Canis lupus familiaris: one gene and its partners. The protein of the gene in region 1 purifies or fractionates together with the protein of each later gene. This does not show direct contact. Links are inferred from orthologs where the notes say so. Each region holds a gene or a part of one and is shown in the gene's direction. Other genes may lie near its edges.

Region 1 (4,218 bases):
TCCCTGAGTGACTCACTGGGCGTTACTTGGAGAAGCTGCCCCTTGAAGGTGGTGCATCGTGGCTAGGGGCTGCCCATCCAGGATGTGGGCTCTATTCCGTGGACTGCCTGGCCTGCCTGCATGTAGACATGAAGGAACTGAGGAGCGGCCCGTTTCATGTTCCTCCCTGCTGGTCCCCATCCTGTCCCCATTCCATCAAACCGATCTCTGACCAGCAGAAAAACTCCTTCCTCCCAATAAAGCCCATTGACTGCACTGTGACCTCCTTGGCCTATGTGTAAAAAGCCACAGCATGCGTGTGCTACACAAATGGGGTATCCATGGTACCCTCAACCAAGTGGATGGTACCTGTGTGGCAAGGGTCCCTGGCCCTGTGGACCTGGGGCTACGGATGTCCCTGTATGTCTCTGGTCATGCCTTCAAGACCTCACTGTCCATTAAGGCTGAAGTCCCATAGGGCCCTCTGTAGGAACAGGGGGACTGAGGCCCATTGTTTCACTAAGGAGCCCGCTCCCAGCCTCCTCCCCAAACCGGTCCTCACACATACCTGGCCCTGGGTGGACCACCTCAGCCCACTTGAGGCGAGCCAGTCCTGAGCGGGACCTCCAAGGGGTAGGTCTCCAGCCACCTCTCTGTTCCTTCCTCCACCCTCTCTGGGAAGCTGGGAGCTGCTGGCCAGAACCACCAACCCTGGGCAAAGAGCTGAGGACGAGTGTTGCCCACTGTTTGCGCAGAGCTATTCTAAATGCCTGCAGATTCTGACGTCCCTCCCTGGGTCTGGGAATGAGCCTGGTGGGCTGGGGGTACGCTCCATCTCCTTAATCCCACTGTCCGTTTTGCAGTCTGGCAGGTCAGCAGGCTCCACCCGGTCTCCCTCAGCCCTTGCCAGCCCTCCCAGGACCCAGACCTCCCAGACCAGACTGTCTGTGGCAGGGACCCAGGCCATCCTGTATACTGCGCCCAGAGACCCCACTCCTGCATCCGATCGCAACTCCAGACCTCCCCCACAGAGGCCAGCATCTGTCCTGCCGACCCTGCAGCCCCAGGCGGCCCCTGCGTTTGGAGGAGAGAACCGGGAACTGGGCCTGGAGGAGGGCGCGGCCTCGGACACAGTCCAGAGCCCCGGCCGGGCGGGCCGCCGCCGTCTCCACCGCCCCCCGCTCAGCTCCTCTGTCTCCCGAGGGTATGAGTCCCTGGCGGGGCCGCGGCGCCCGCGGGCTGCAGCACGCCCGCCTCCGCAGTCCCGGGCGGACCCCGCCGCCGCCGCCGCCGCCCGCCCGCGCACTGTCGGGACCTGCCCCGCGCCCGCCGCCGTGGGCGGGGCCTGGGGCCGGGGCCGTGGGCGGGGCCTGGGGCCGTGGGCGGGGCCCGGGGCCCGGGGCGCGGGCGGGGCGCGCAGCTCTCGCAGGCCCCCGGCGGCCGCGCAGTCTCCGCACCCCGAGCCACCGCCCCCATCGCCCCTCCCCGCCCGCCCCGCCGACTCCGACGCGTGGCCGGTGAGTGCGCCGCCGGGCCAGACGGGCCGGGAGGGGCCGTGCGTCCCGGACTCCGGGGCCCAGCTGCAGGCGTCTGGAGGGAGGCCCGGGAGGCCCGGGAGGGCCCGGCCGCCGACCCGGCCGCAGCCGCCGCGCGAGCCCCTTCCGGAGGGAGCCGGCCGCCGGGGAGCCGGGTGCGCAGAGCGGCGCCCGGGTGGGCAGAGGGGCGCCCGGAGCGGGGGCGAGGCGCCCCCGGGGTTTTTGCGCAGGCCTGGCGGCCCCTTCGGCCTCATCGGAGCACCGTGGTCATTGTCTCCGGACACCGGTGCCCTTCCTTCCAACGTCGCTCGTCCGGGCGGGGGCGGCGGCTCCACGCGGTAACGCGCCGATGCCTCCCCGGGCCTGGCTGCGCGGAGCGCAGGGTCCAGTCCTGCGGGCGGGGCGCGGGCGGCCGAGACCCCCGGCTGAGTCGCAGGGTCTGGGCTGGGGCAGCTGTGTCACGGCCGCAGGAACTATCTCTGGCCGGCGCGTCCCAAGGGGGCTCGCATCCGCCAGGCACTCCCGGAAACCGGGGCCCCTCCTCTGCCGGTTGTGCGCGCGGGCCGTGGGGGCTGGGGCCTCTGCCCGGGCCCAGGGGCCGCCGTACCCCAGCTCCGCGGCAGCGGTCTGCGTCTTTTTTCCTGCCTGGCCGGCAGGTACTGCTGTTGGGCGGGGTAAGGGGCAGTGGCCGGTCCGCAGGAAGGCCCAGAGCGGGGTGCTTGGAGAAGGCGAGTGGTCCCTCCCCTTCCAGGATCACACTATCCAGAAATGTTTTCTGCCCTGCCCCGCCCAAGCCCAGACTAAAATACCGGGCCTGGCCTCTCCCCTCCCTGCCCTGGGAGTGGACGCTGCCTACTCCGGAAGCCCAGCTGGTCCGGATCCACTGCCAGAGGCGGCCACAAGGAGGGGTGATACGATCCTGCCAGCGCCGGCCAGGCCTGTGACCTGTCCCTGCCTTTCTAGTGGAGGCTCTTAGGGAACTTCCGTCCACCTGTCTTAGAGAGGAGCCAGTCTCCACCAGCAGCCAGGTAAGTGCTGGGTGGGGTGGTGAAAGTTCAGCTCTGGGTGGTGCTGTCTGTCTGGAAACGTGGGAGGGGGGGCGTCCAGCTGCCATCTGTGCCGTGGGGCCCTCTCCCACCCTCCCCAGTGCAGACTCTGCACAGCGGAACAGGCAAAGTGTCCCTTCGCATCTTGCTGGGGTTGGTGTGGCCCCCTTTCCAGTAGTGAGGACCAGCAGAGGTCTGGGGCATGTGTTTCTGCTGGCTCTGCCTGTCCAGCACCGTCTCTTCTTCCCAGCCTGGCTCTGAGAAAGGAAGGCCGTCCCTTTAACAGAAACCCAAGGGGCTTCCCTGAGGCTATGTGGCTAGTAAGGGGCCAATCAGCCTGTGTCTGAGTGGCCTCCAATCCTTCAGCCTCCAGTGGGTGCCTGCTAGCCTCTAGCCTGCCAGACTGTGACGTGCAGCTCCGGGAATGTTGTGGGGGGGAGGGATGGGCGGGGCCTGCATGAGCTCACCCTGAGGGACCTGCCGGGTCTTCCTACCCTGGCTGCCAGCAGAGGTGAGTCAGCGGTGATGCTTGGGGTCCTCCATGTCTCCTTTGTGCGCTGGGCACTGAGCAGAGAAGCCGGGCCCTTCGGCCTTCTAGGGCCTGGCCTTCAGCTTGGCTGTGGGCACCAGACACTGGCCCTGGCTGCGCTGGGGGTGGGGGCCCTCGAAGTGCTCTCCCAGGAGACATCCTGCTTCTTGTGAACACTTTCCCAGGACCTTCATTCGGGGCAGCTGGTTGGCTGGGCTTCAACCCAGGGCTTGCCTGGGCATCGGTGTCCCCCTCCCTACCATCCCCACTGGTGTCTGGCTGGCCTCCCAGTTAAGTCCTGGTGGTGTGAGCTATCTGACCTCCCCTTGCCTCTCGGCCCCAGGATGGGGGAGTTCAATGAGAAGACGACATGTGGCACCGTCTGCCTCAAGTACCTGCTCTTCACCTTCAACTGCTGCTTCTGGGTGAGGACTCCCTCCCACTGACTGCCACGGGCAGGTGTCTCCTCCCTCCCATCCCTGGTCCCTGAAGGGAGCCTTGGCCTGGGGGCTCAGCCCCATCCCTTAGACCTGGGGCCAGATGTGCTGACCAGTGTGCACTGCCCACAGCTGGCTGGTCTGGCCGTCATGGCAGTGGGCATCTGGACGCTGGCCCTCAAGAGTGACTATATCAGCTTGCTGGCCTCGGGCACCTACCTGGCCACAGCCTACATCCTGGTGGTGGCTGGCGTTGTCGTCATGGTGACTGGCGTTCTGGGCTGCTGTGCCACCTTCAAGGAGCGGCGGAACCTGCTGCGCCTGGTTAGTGGGGGCTCCCCACTAGGCTGTCTGGGCTGGATCTGAGAAGGAAAGGAATGTTGGGGGTCAGGTGTGACATTGGAGAATAGCCTGTGCTGTGCTTATCTGTGCTGGGGGGGGGGGGGCACTTGTCCAGCCCTGAGTCCCCACATCCCAGCTGGGCTAGCTGAGGGAAGACACCAGCTCTGAGGGAAAGCATCAGGGACCGCCAGCACCCACCTGCTGCCCAGAGCCCTCTGTGGCCACTTGGGATCGGAGGCTGGGGGCTCTGCTCTGCAGTGCTGGACACTGGGAGTCCTCATGGGATAGGACTGCATGTGTCCAGTCCCACCTAACTGGGTCCCTGCTCACCCCCAGTACTTCATCCTGCT
Region 2 (4,136 bases), on another chromosome or scaffold:
ATTCTTCTGAGGATGACCGGGCCTTTGGGCCCTGCCCACCTACCTCCACCTAGTGCCACTCACTACACACCTACGGAGGCTGGCGTCCCCGCCCCATCTCCAAACACTCAGGCTGAGCCCGGGTAGGAGGAGGAGGAGACATTTGGGATTCTGCTGTGCCGGGCCCTGAAGGCAGGAGCGGATGAGATATGGGTGCAGTCTGGGCCCAGTTCCCTGGCCACACAGTGCATTCTAAGGAGAAGGGACTCATTTACACGCCGGAGGGTGTATGAGGGATACCAGAAGGCGGAGCCCTGTGGGGGAAGTGCTGTCTTGCTGCTCATTACAATTAGCAACGCTTGGTTAGTACCACTGCTAAATATCTGTCGGGCTTTGCCGAGGGAACATATCCAGCCCGGGTCAGGGTGGGTGGGTGCGGGCGGGCCAGAGAAGCACATCTGGACAAGGACAGCGAAGGGCCTGGGTGCGAGGAAGAAGGCCCAGAGACCGCCAACCGCCTCTCAGGGATTCACAGCGCTGCGGAGGCGAAGCCGGCATTGCCCCGAGCGGCGCGCAGATGTGGGCTCCCAGATGCGCCAACGCCGGGGCTCTCCAGCCGGCCCGCCGAGGTGGCCGCGCCGGGAACGGCCTTGCCAGCAGCAGCAGCGGCCGGAGCCCAGCCTCCAGACAAATCCCACCCCCGGCCCCGCCCGGCCAATCCATCTTGCTCGGGAGGTGACGCTTCCTAGGAGAAGCAAGGGGCGGAGAGGGGAAACCCAAGCCTTTGGGGGCTCCCGACAGGTGTTTGGGGGAGAGGGCGGAGCCTGGTCGGGGAGGATGAGGAGGGAGGGGCGGTGCTGCCCCTTTAAGAGGCGGTGGCGGAGCCGGGACCTTTTCTCTTTCCCCGGAAGGAAAGCGGAGCCCCGGCTGGGCGCGCAAGGTGGGGAGGTGCGGGGCTGGGCGTGGAGGCGGGGCGCGCGCGGAGAGGACCGCTCCCTCCCGTCTTCCTCGCGATCCACGGGTCTGCGTTCCCAGATCCGCCGCGGAGCCCAGGGCGAAGGGGGCGCGGCCGGGACGAGCCGGGGGCAGTGCCCGGGGCGGGGGGGCCGTGACCGGCGGCTGGGCAGGCGGGACGGTAGACCGGCGAGCCTCGGAGAGGAATCGGGGCGCGCAGACCCTGGGCGGACGTGACACCGACGCGGCTGAGGGCCAGAAACTTCGCAGCGCTGCGGGGCTCCGGGACGCGCCCGCCGGAGCGGTCTCCGCGGTCCCCCGCCGAGCGCGCGGCAGGTGGACGGGTCCTGGCTCCCAGCGCCGGGCGCCCCCGCCCCCCGCCCCCGCCCCCGCCCCCGCAGCCATGGGCCCGCGCGCCCGCCGCGCCGCCTGCGTCCCGCGCCCGGTGCTCTGCGCGCTCGCCTTGATGGTGGCCGCCGGCGGCCGCGTCGCCTCCGCCTTCAACCTGGACACCCGATTCCTGGTGGTGAAAGAGGCCAGGAACCCGGGCAGCCTCTTCGGCTACTCGGTCGCCCTCCATCGGCAGACGGAGCGGCAGCGGCGCTACCTGTAAGTGAGGCGGGCGGGGCGGGGCGGGGCGGGGCGGGGAGACCGTGCGCGCGCCGGTGCGGATCCGAGCCTGGGCGCAGCCTGGCTTCCAGGCCCGCGGGCCGCCGGCTCTAGTGACCGGGATTAAGGGGGCGGGGGCCTGGGCAGCCCTTCTGCGGCCGAGGTCTGGCGGCAAGTGGAGGGAGTGGGTGTGGGATGGGGTCAGCAGTCATTAGCAAGTGCTGACCGGCCGGAACCTGCCTAAACTCAGCCCCTCAACCCTTTAAACCTCTCTTGAAAGTGGAAGTGGGGTCCCCGTTTCCCAAGCCCCCTCCCACTCTGTCGACCTAGTATCTAATCTATGAATACTTCTCTCCAGGGCTGGGACCTGGGGAAAACTGCAAGGTAAACACTCAGTGGAACCCTCTATCCCCTTTCCTGGGAAGAACCTGTGGGCATGTGTGTTTAACACCTCCCCCCTCCCGCCCGCCGGCCTTTACACCTTGCGTTTAGTCTGCCTGCCTGCGGGCCATGCCAGCCACACCCTCTGCAGAGCCAGACTGGAGGGCCTTCTAAGGGGCTTGGCGCTTGGCGGTTGCAGGGTGAGGTGATGGGCGAGTCTGGGCATTTGGAGCTGTCCGGGAGCTCCCTCTGACCCCTTGAAGATGGGGAAGTAGAGGGAGCTGTCCGGACTCCTGCTTGGTCTCCTGCCCCCACCGCACCCCCAGCAGGGACGCCCTCCCACCAGACATCTTCCCCACATTCCACAGATTCATGTTGAATCTTCAACCCTGAGTGTGTTTGTTTTGGTTTGAAGAGGGAAATGGTGTTTTTCTCTTCTGTTAGACTTCCCCCCCCCTGACAGCTGTAAGGAGAAGGAAGGGGGGAGAGCTACCCACAGGAGAGAGGAGAGAAGGAGATTGCATCCAGCTGTTTGTTTCCTACCCTGCTTCCTGCTTCCCGCTGCCACCGGCACTCTCCTGCCTAGAGTCCAGGTTTCAGGGATTTTTCTTCTGTAGGCTCAGGTGCTGAGGTTGACAGCCAGGGGAAGAAGGCCGCTGGGGGAGGGGAGGGGAGGCTACCCCAGGAGAGAAGGTGTTAGGAAAGGTCAGGCAGGCCCCACCTAAGTCTCTGGGCTGGGGGACCTACCAGACAGCTATCCCTACCTGGTGTCTCACTCCACTGAGCAAGAGGACATGGTCTGATACAGGGTGTATTGTAACCTTTCTCAACTCTGGCTGGAGCCTGCAGAAACTTGAGGAAGCTTGGAATGTCCAAAGTCCAAACTCTGCCCCAGCCTTGGCCTCTGCCCTGTCGGCCCAGCCCCTGCCCAGTATACCTATCTACCTGGGCCTCCATCTAGCTTCTGCAGAGGCTAAGGCCACCACATCCTTCCCAGCGCAGCACCATGCCCTCGGCCAGCCTTTCATCTTTTGCAGACCTTAAAAGTGACCATCAGCACAAGTTTCTGTATTGGCGCTTTTTCTGCCCCAGCCCAGAAAAAGATTTTCTGACTTTCCAGACTGACTCTGCATGATATAAAGCAATGCAGTGTAAAAAGAAGATCAGGAAAGCAAGAGTAAATAATGAAAAGCTGGAGTAGATAATGGGCTCTGTAAACCCCGCTCCCCATCCCCCCTACCCACCATGTGACCTTGAGCAAGACATTTCCCTTCTCTGGGCCAGTTTTCTCCAAAAAGGGGTTGGACCTGGATCTATAGAGTCCTTCCTGCCTCTGTTGGCCTATAAGAGGCAGCTTGCGATTGGAGAGAGAGAAGAGGCGAGGCGCCGGAGTCCCACTGCCACATTCCAGTCTCGGAACTGTCACTAATACCTGAGTCTTAACGTCTCTACATGTTGGCGGAAGGAGGCGGGGCAGCATGCCTTCTTCATGAGGTGCCAGTGGGGCTCTCTAGTGAGACAGCGTGTGTAAAAGGCTCTGTACATGCCTGTGTCTCCGGGGAGCAGTTAGTGCTCTTGTGCTGAAGCCAGGCTCTTACTACCCATGTGCCTCACCCAAGATGGCTGAGCAGAGGGGCTTTACCTTTCTTCCTGGGTGGCTAGAGATGGCATTAGACCTGCTAAGAGCCCAGGAGGTTCTAAAGCTAATGACCCTTGGAGAGGCAGGAAGTTCTAAACAGAGGTCTGGGCCATTCTCTTGGGTATCCTGTCTTTCCCCAGGGTAGTTCTATATCTTGGTTCATCTCCTCTTCTTGCTGAATTCTGCCCCTTGGCCCTTTGGGAGAGCCAGCTGGGCCATCTGGTCTTAGTTGCAGCCAGCTGTATAGCCAGATGTGAACAGCTGCCTGAGTGCACAGCTTAGGGCAACCAACAAGTCAAGTCTTATATTCTGTTAGTCTACAAGTCCTTTTGGAAGAGGGGAGAGGTTTCATGGTCATGAATAAAAACTCTTAGCCTGGGGCTCATAGAAGGTTTGCAGGAGGTGCAGGGACCCCTGAAAATACATGTAAAATCATGCATCTGTGCGTTGTTCTGCGGGCAGGAGGAGGGGAAGAGCACAGTTTTCATCATATTCTCAAAGATGGCCTTATTCTAGAAATGGTTAGAAACCCAGGTGTGGACCCTCTTTGTTCCCTATCTCTTTTGTCTCTGGG
Region 3 (4,006 bases), on another chromosome or scaffold:
TCCCCATAAATGGGCCTCCAGATTAATCTAACAAAAGGAGATCCCTAACTTACCAGTTTTTCTTTTCTCTAAAACTTTCCTAAAAATCCATCTTTCTTGGCATTGACCGCCTTCCTGTCTTCACCACCTCATACAGCCAAGTCAAGCCAACTATCCACTCCAGTCAACAGTAGTGGCTTTAGCTAATTCCCTAGAAGTTAAAGTTTGGGCCCCTGGAAGCCCCAGAGGGTGGGTGATCCTCTGGATGTGCCTGGGACTGAAGGAGATCCTGGGCTGACGGGACCACTGGGTGTGGCTCTGGGGCAGTGGACCGCAAGGCCCAGCAGGTGTTCAGCCCCAGGCTCCCGACGCCCCCCCCCCCCCCCCACGCACCTCCCTCGGTCGGTCGGTCGGCGGGAGCGGAAACTGAGGCACAGCGAAGGCCCAGTCCCAGGCCAGCTCCCACCCTGCTCCTTGGGCCTGGCCTCGGCTTTCTGGCCCCCTCCTCCTGGTCCCCCTGCTCCCGTGCTCCCCCGTCCTTGGGATCCTGCTCCCCTGCGCGTCCTCCCCTCCTCCTGCTCCCGGTCCTCGGGATCCTGCTCCCTCTGCCGGTCCTCCCCTCGTCTCCTCCTCCCCTCCTCCTGCTCCCCGTCCTCCGGATCCTGCTCCCCTGCGCGTCCTCCCCTCCTCCTGCTCCCGGTCCTCGGGATCCTGCTCCCTCTGCCGGTCCTCCCCTCGTCTCCTCCTCCCCTCCTCCTGCTCCGGTCCTCGGGATCCTGCTCCCCTGCGCGTCCTCCCCTCCTCCTGCTCCCGGTCCTCCGGATCCTGCTCCCTCTGCCGGTCCTCCCCTCGTCTCCTCCTCCCCTCCTCCTGCTCCGGTCCTCGGGATCCTGCTCCCCTGCGCGTCCTCCCCTCCTCCTGCTCCCGGTCCTCCGGATCCTGCTCCCTCTGCCGGTCCTCCCCTCGTCTCCTCCTCCTGCTCCCTCTGCCGGTCCTCCCCTCCGTCTCCCCCGCCCCTCCTCCTCTCCCGCCCGCCCGCCCTCCCTCCGCGCTCCTCCGGCGTCCTCCTCCCCTCCCCGCCTCAGGCGAGCTGACGCCGCCCGGCAGGAATGCGTTTCCGGAGGGAGGGGAGCAGGAGCGGCCGCGGCGGCCGGAGGAGCAGGAGCGGCGGGGCCGAAGAGGCGGTGCCGCGGGGGTCGTTTCCTGCCGGGAGGCGGCTCCGGGCGGCCGAGTCTCCTGCCCCCGCCCCCGAGGAGGAGGAGCCGCCGCCGCCGCCGCGCCCGAGAGCCGGGAGGCCGCGCTAGCCGTCGGGAGAGGCCGAGCCGAGTCCCGGAGTCCCGGAGCTGCAGGCCCCAGCCGACCGCGGCCCGGACGCCCCGGAGAAGGTGGCGCCGTGTGTGCGCGCGTGTGTGCGTGTGCGCGTGTGCGCGTGTGTGCGTGTGGCGGGCGGCGCGGGCCGGGGCGCCGCGGCCGGGCCTGCGTGGGGCGGGGGCGGGGGCGGGGCGGCGGGCGCGGTGGCGGGGCTGCGGGACGAAACGCTGCCCCGGGGCCGGGGCGGGGGCCGGGGCCGGGGCGGGGGCCGGGGGCCGGGGGCCGGGGGCCGGGCCGGCTGCGCCCGCCGAGGCCCGGAGCTCGTCCCGCCGCCTCGCGAGTGGGGGTCGCGGGCCTGGGCGCTGTCCCGCCGCGGTGGGGGGCCCCGAGCGCGCGGAGCGAGCCGGCCTGCCTCGTGGGCCGCCTGGGCCCGGGTTCCGCGTGCGGGGAGGGGCGAGCGGGGCCGCCCGCGGCCCGAGGCCCCGGGGCTTGGAGCGAGCCCTTGCGGCTTCCCTTTGTTCCCGGTCCCGTCGGGGCCGCTCTCCCCCGAGCGGCCTGGAGCGTAGTAGCGCGCTTCCCGCTTGCAGAAGTCGGGCCGCAGCCTTCAGGGCCTGCTGCCGGGGCTAACTGCGGGCCGGGCCCAAAGAGAGGCGGGCGTCGGGAGCCGGGGAAGGCGCGGGCTTGGCGACTTGGGGTGTGTGAGGGCCGCGCCGAGTGGGGGGTCCCTCAGCAGGGGGCCGGCCAGGGGCTCCCGCGGCTCTGCAGGAGCCAGTGCCCACCTGCCCTGGGGCCCGGCCTCTTACTGCGCCTCAATTCTTGGGCTTCCTAACAAGTTGTAGTTACTACCAATATTTTATGCCTAAGTCATTTTTATTTCATCGAATTTGTACTTTTTAGTCAAAAACTAACACTAGTAAATTACCCTCTTGGGGCTTCCATTTCCTCACCCGTAAAATGGGAACAAGAATACCTACACTAATAATAAAAGCAGCTATTCTAGTAAGGACAGTGCGGGCCGTGGTTAGCTCTACGCACTTTACCTGTGTTTATCCTGGAACCAATACAATGAGGTAGGTGCAGTTTTTATACTCATTTTACTAGTGAAGAAACTGAGGCACAGGAGGCCTAAGTAATTTGCCTCTGATCATCCAGCCTAGTGAGTGAAGAACCCATGGGGTCTAGCACCAGAGCCCATGTTTGAATCACAGGTTCAAGTAACAGGTTCCATAAAGACCATAGAGTTGTGAATATCAGATGTAATATGTAAAACAGCTTACAGTAGATGCTAAATGCATAGGACTCCTTTCTGTCTCTTCTTGATATATGAAAAAGATTTAAAAAAAAATCTCAGGACGTAATTGATCCGCTATGCTGTTATTTTTGGTTGTTTTGATGGTATAAAAATAATGTGAAATAAATGTTGGTTAGGCATTTTTCCGAAAGGGCATACAGCCTTTAGTTATATTAATAGACCACTTTTAGAAATGATTAAGGAATTTCAGGTGGAAGTTAACCTAGTCTACATCTGTGAACATCTACACCCACAGGGGATGGTAATTAAGAGTTCACTACAGTGTTCATATTTTTAAATAATTTTAGTTCATTGATCAATATTAAATGAGTGGCTTAAGATAATGAAGTGATACATAGGAAACAGAGGGACAGGTCTGTTGGGGACAGGGCTCTGGGGAAAAAGCCATTTATTTATTTGAAAATTCATAAAATGGAAGATGTTATTAGAATGTTAGCTAAAAAGACAGGGGATGTGGTTAATACTTTTGTAAATAGAAAGCAAATAAATTCCAAATGAAGGTATCTGTGTTGACTTCACAGACTTAAAATTTAGTTTTTGTAATGTTGAGTCTCTTTAAAAGAATGCTGAATTCTCCATTATGATTATTTTATATTACTATTTTATAATACCCTCAACAGTCTGTACGTGAAAAAATATAGAATCAACAATATTGAAAATTGCTAGGTTTAGTGATTTTAACAATTAGGTGGTTTTTTTCTTAACTCTCTGGTCAATATAATTAAAATCTGGCCCAAATTTCCATCACTGAATGAATATGCAGTTCTGCATGGTTATCAATAAACTCCTAACTCCAGGAGCTTCTCTGGGGACGTCTGGTCATTTTGTAATAGGCAGAATTAATCAGTTTAATGTGCCAGTTTTAACGGAATACTTGCCACATAATAGCTTTATTGTTTGGCTTCTTGTCAAATAAATTGCGGCTTACGATATGGGGGTGGGGTAGTATAACACTCTACCTCAGGAAAATATTTTTCTTTGATATTCGGTTGGTACACTGGTCTGTTCTTAACTACACTGCTGGAATGATGAGATGAAACATCTTTTGCCGGTTCAAAGTTGCAGAACTTCTGACTTCTGAGATTTTCAGTTTCTGAATGTATAAAAGCTTGAATGTATCTAAGGACTTATATGGACTCTTGTTAAATTTTAGATTTCCTCACTCTGCATGGAAAGTTAGGATGTATCAGGTTGGGGTAGAATCCTAGAGGATTATACTGTGCAAATATGAAAATATGTCTTGTGGTATTAGTGGGTCTGTTCTAACTTTGGTCATATATTGTGGGGGTTTTGTTCTTTTTTGTTGTCATAGTGGGAGTCTTGGGGAAGGGGGATGGATTGACAGGGATAACAGTAAGGAAGAGTGCCTTAGTCTTCAGGATCCTGAAATGGAAGCAGTATCTA

The links.
Region 2: the proteins of CD151 (region 1) and ITGA3 purify together in Homo sapiens (co-immunoprecipitation; 4 studies listed by BioGRID and IntAct, with this or other methods). This does not show direct contact. The link is inferred for Canis lupus familiaris from reciprocal best matches to the Homo sapiens genes CD151 and ITGA3.
Region 3: the proteins of CD151 (region 1) and ITGB1 purify together in Homo sapiens (affinity purification with western blotting; 4 studies listed by BioGRID and IntAct, with this or other methods). This does not show direct contact. The link is inferred for Canis lupus familiaris from reciprocal best matches to the Homo sapiens genes CD151 and ITGB1.

Annotation. Positions count from the first base shown.
Region 1 is NC_049239.1:45,626,500-45,630,717, forward strand, and holds the start of CD151 (CD151 antigen), read left to right. Parts: upstream 1-1,418; 5' UTR 1,419-1,496; intron 1,497-2,477; 5' UTR 2,478-2,542; intron 2,543-3,432; 5' UTR 3,433-3,433; coding exon 3,434-3,514; intron 3,515-3,658; coding exon 3,659-3,850; intron 3,851-4,204; coding exon 4,205-4,218. UniProt on the Homo sapiens protein: Structural component of specialized membrane microdomains known as tetraspanin-enriched microdomains (TERMs), which act as platforms for receptor clustering and signaling.
Region 2 is NC_049230.1:26,015,393-26,019,528, forward strand, and holds the start of ITGA3 (integrin alpha-3), read left to right. Parts: upstream 1-1,336; coding exon 1,337-1,542; intron 1,543-4,136.
Region 3 is NC_049223.1:3,937,872-3,941,877, forward strand, and holds the start of ITGB1 (integrin beta-1), read left to right. Parts: upstream 1-1,206; 5' UTR 1,207-1,364; intron 1,365-4,006.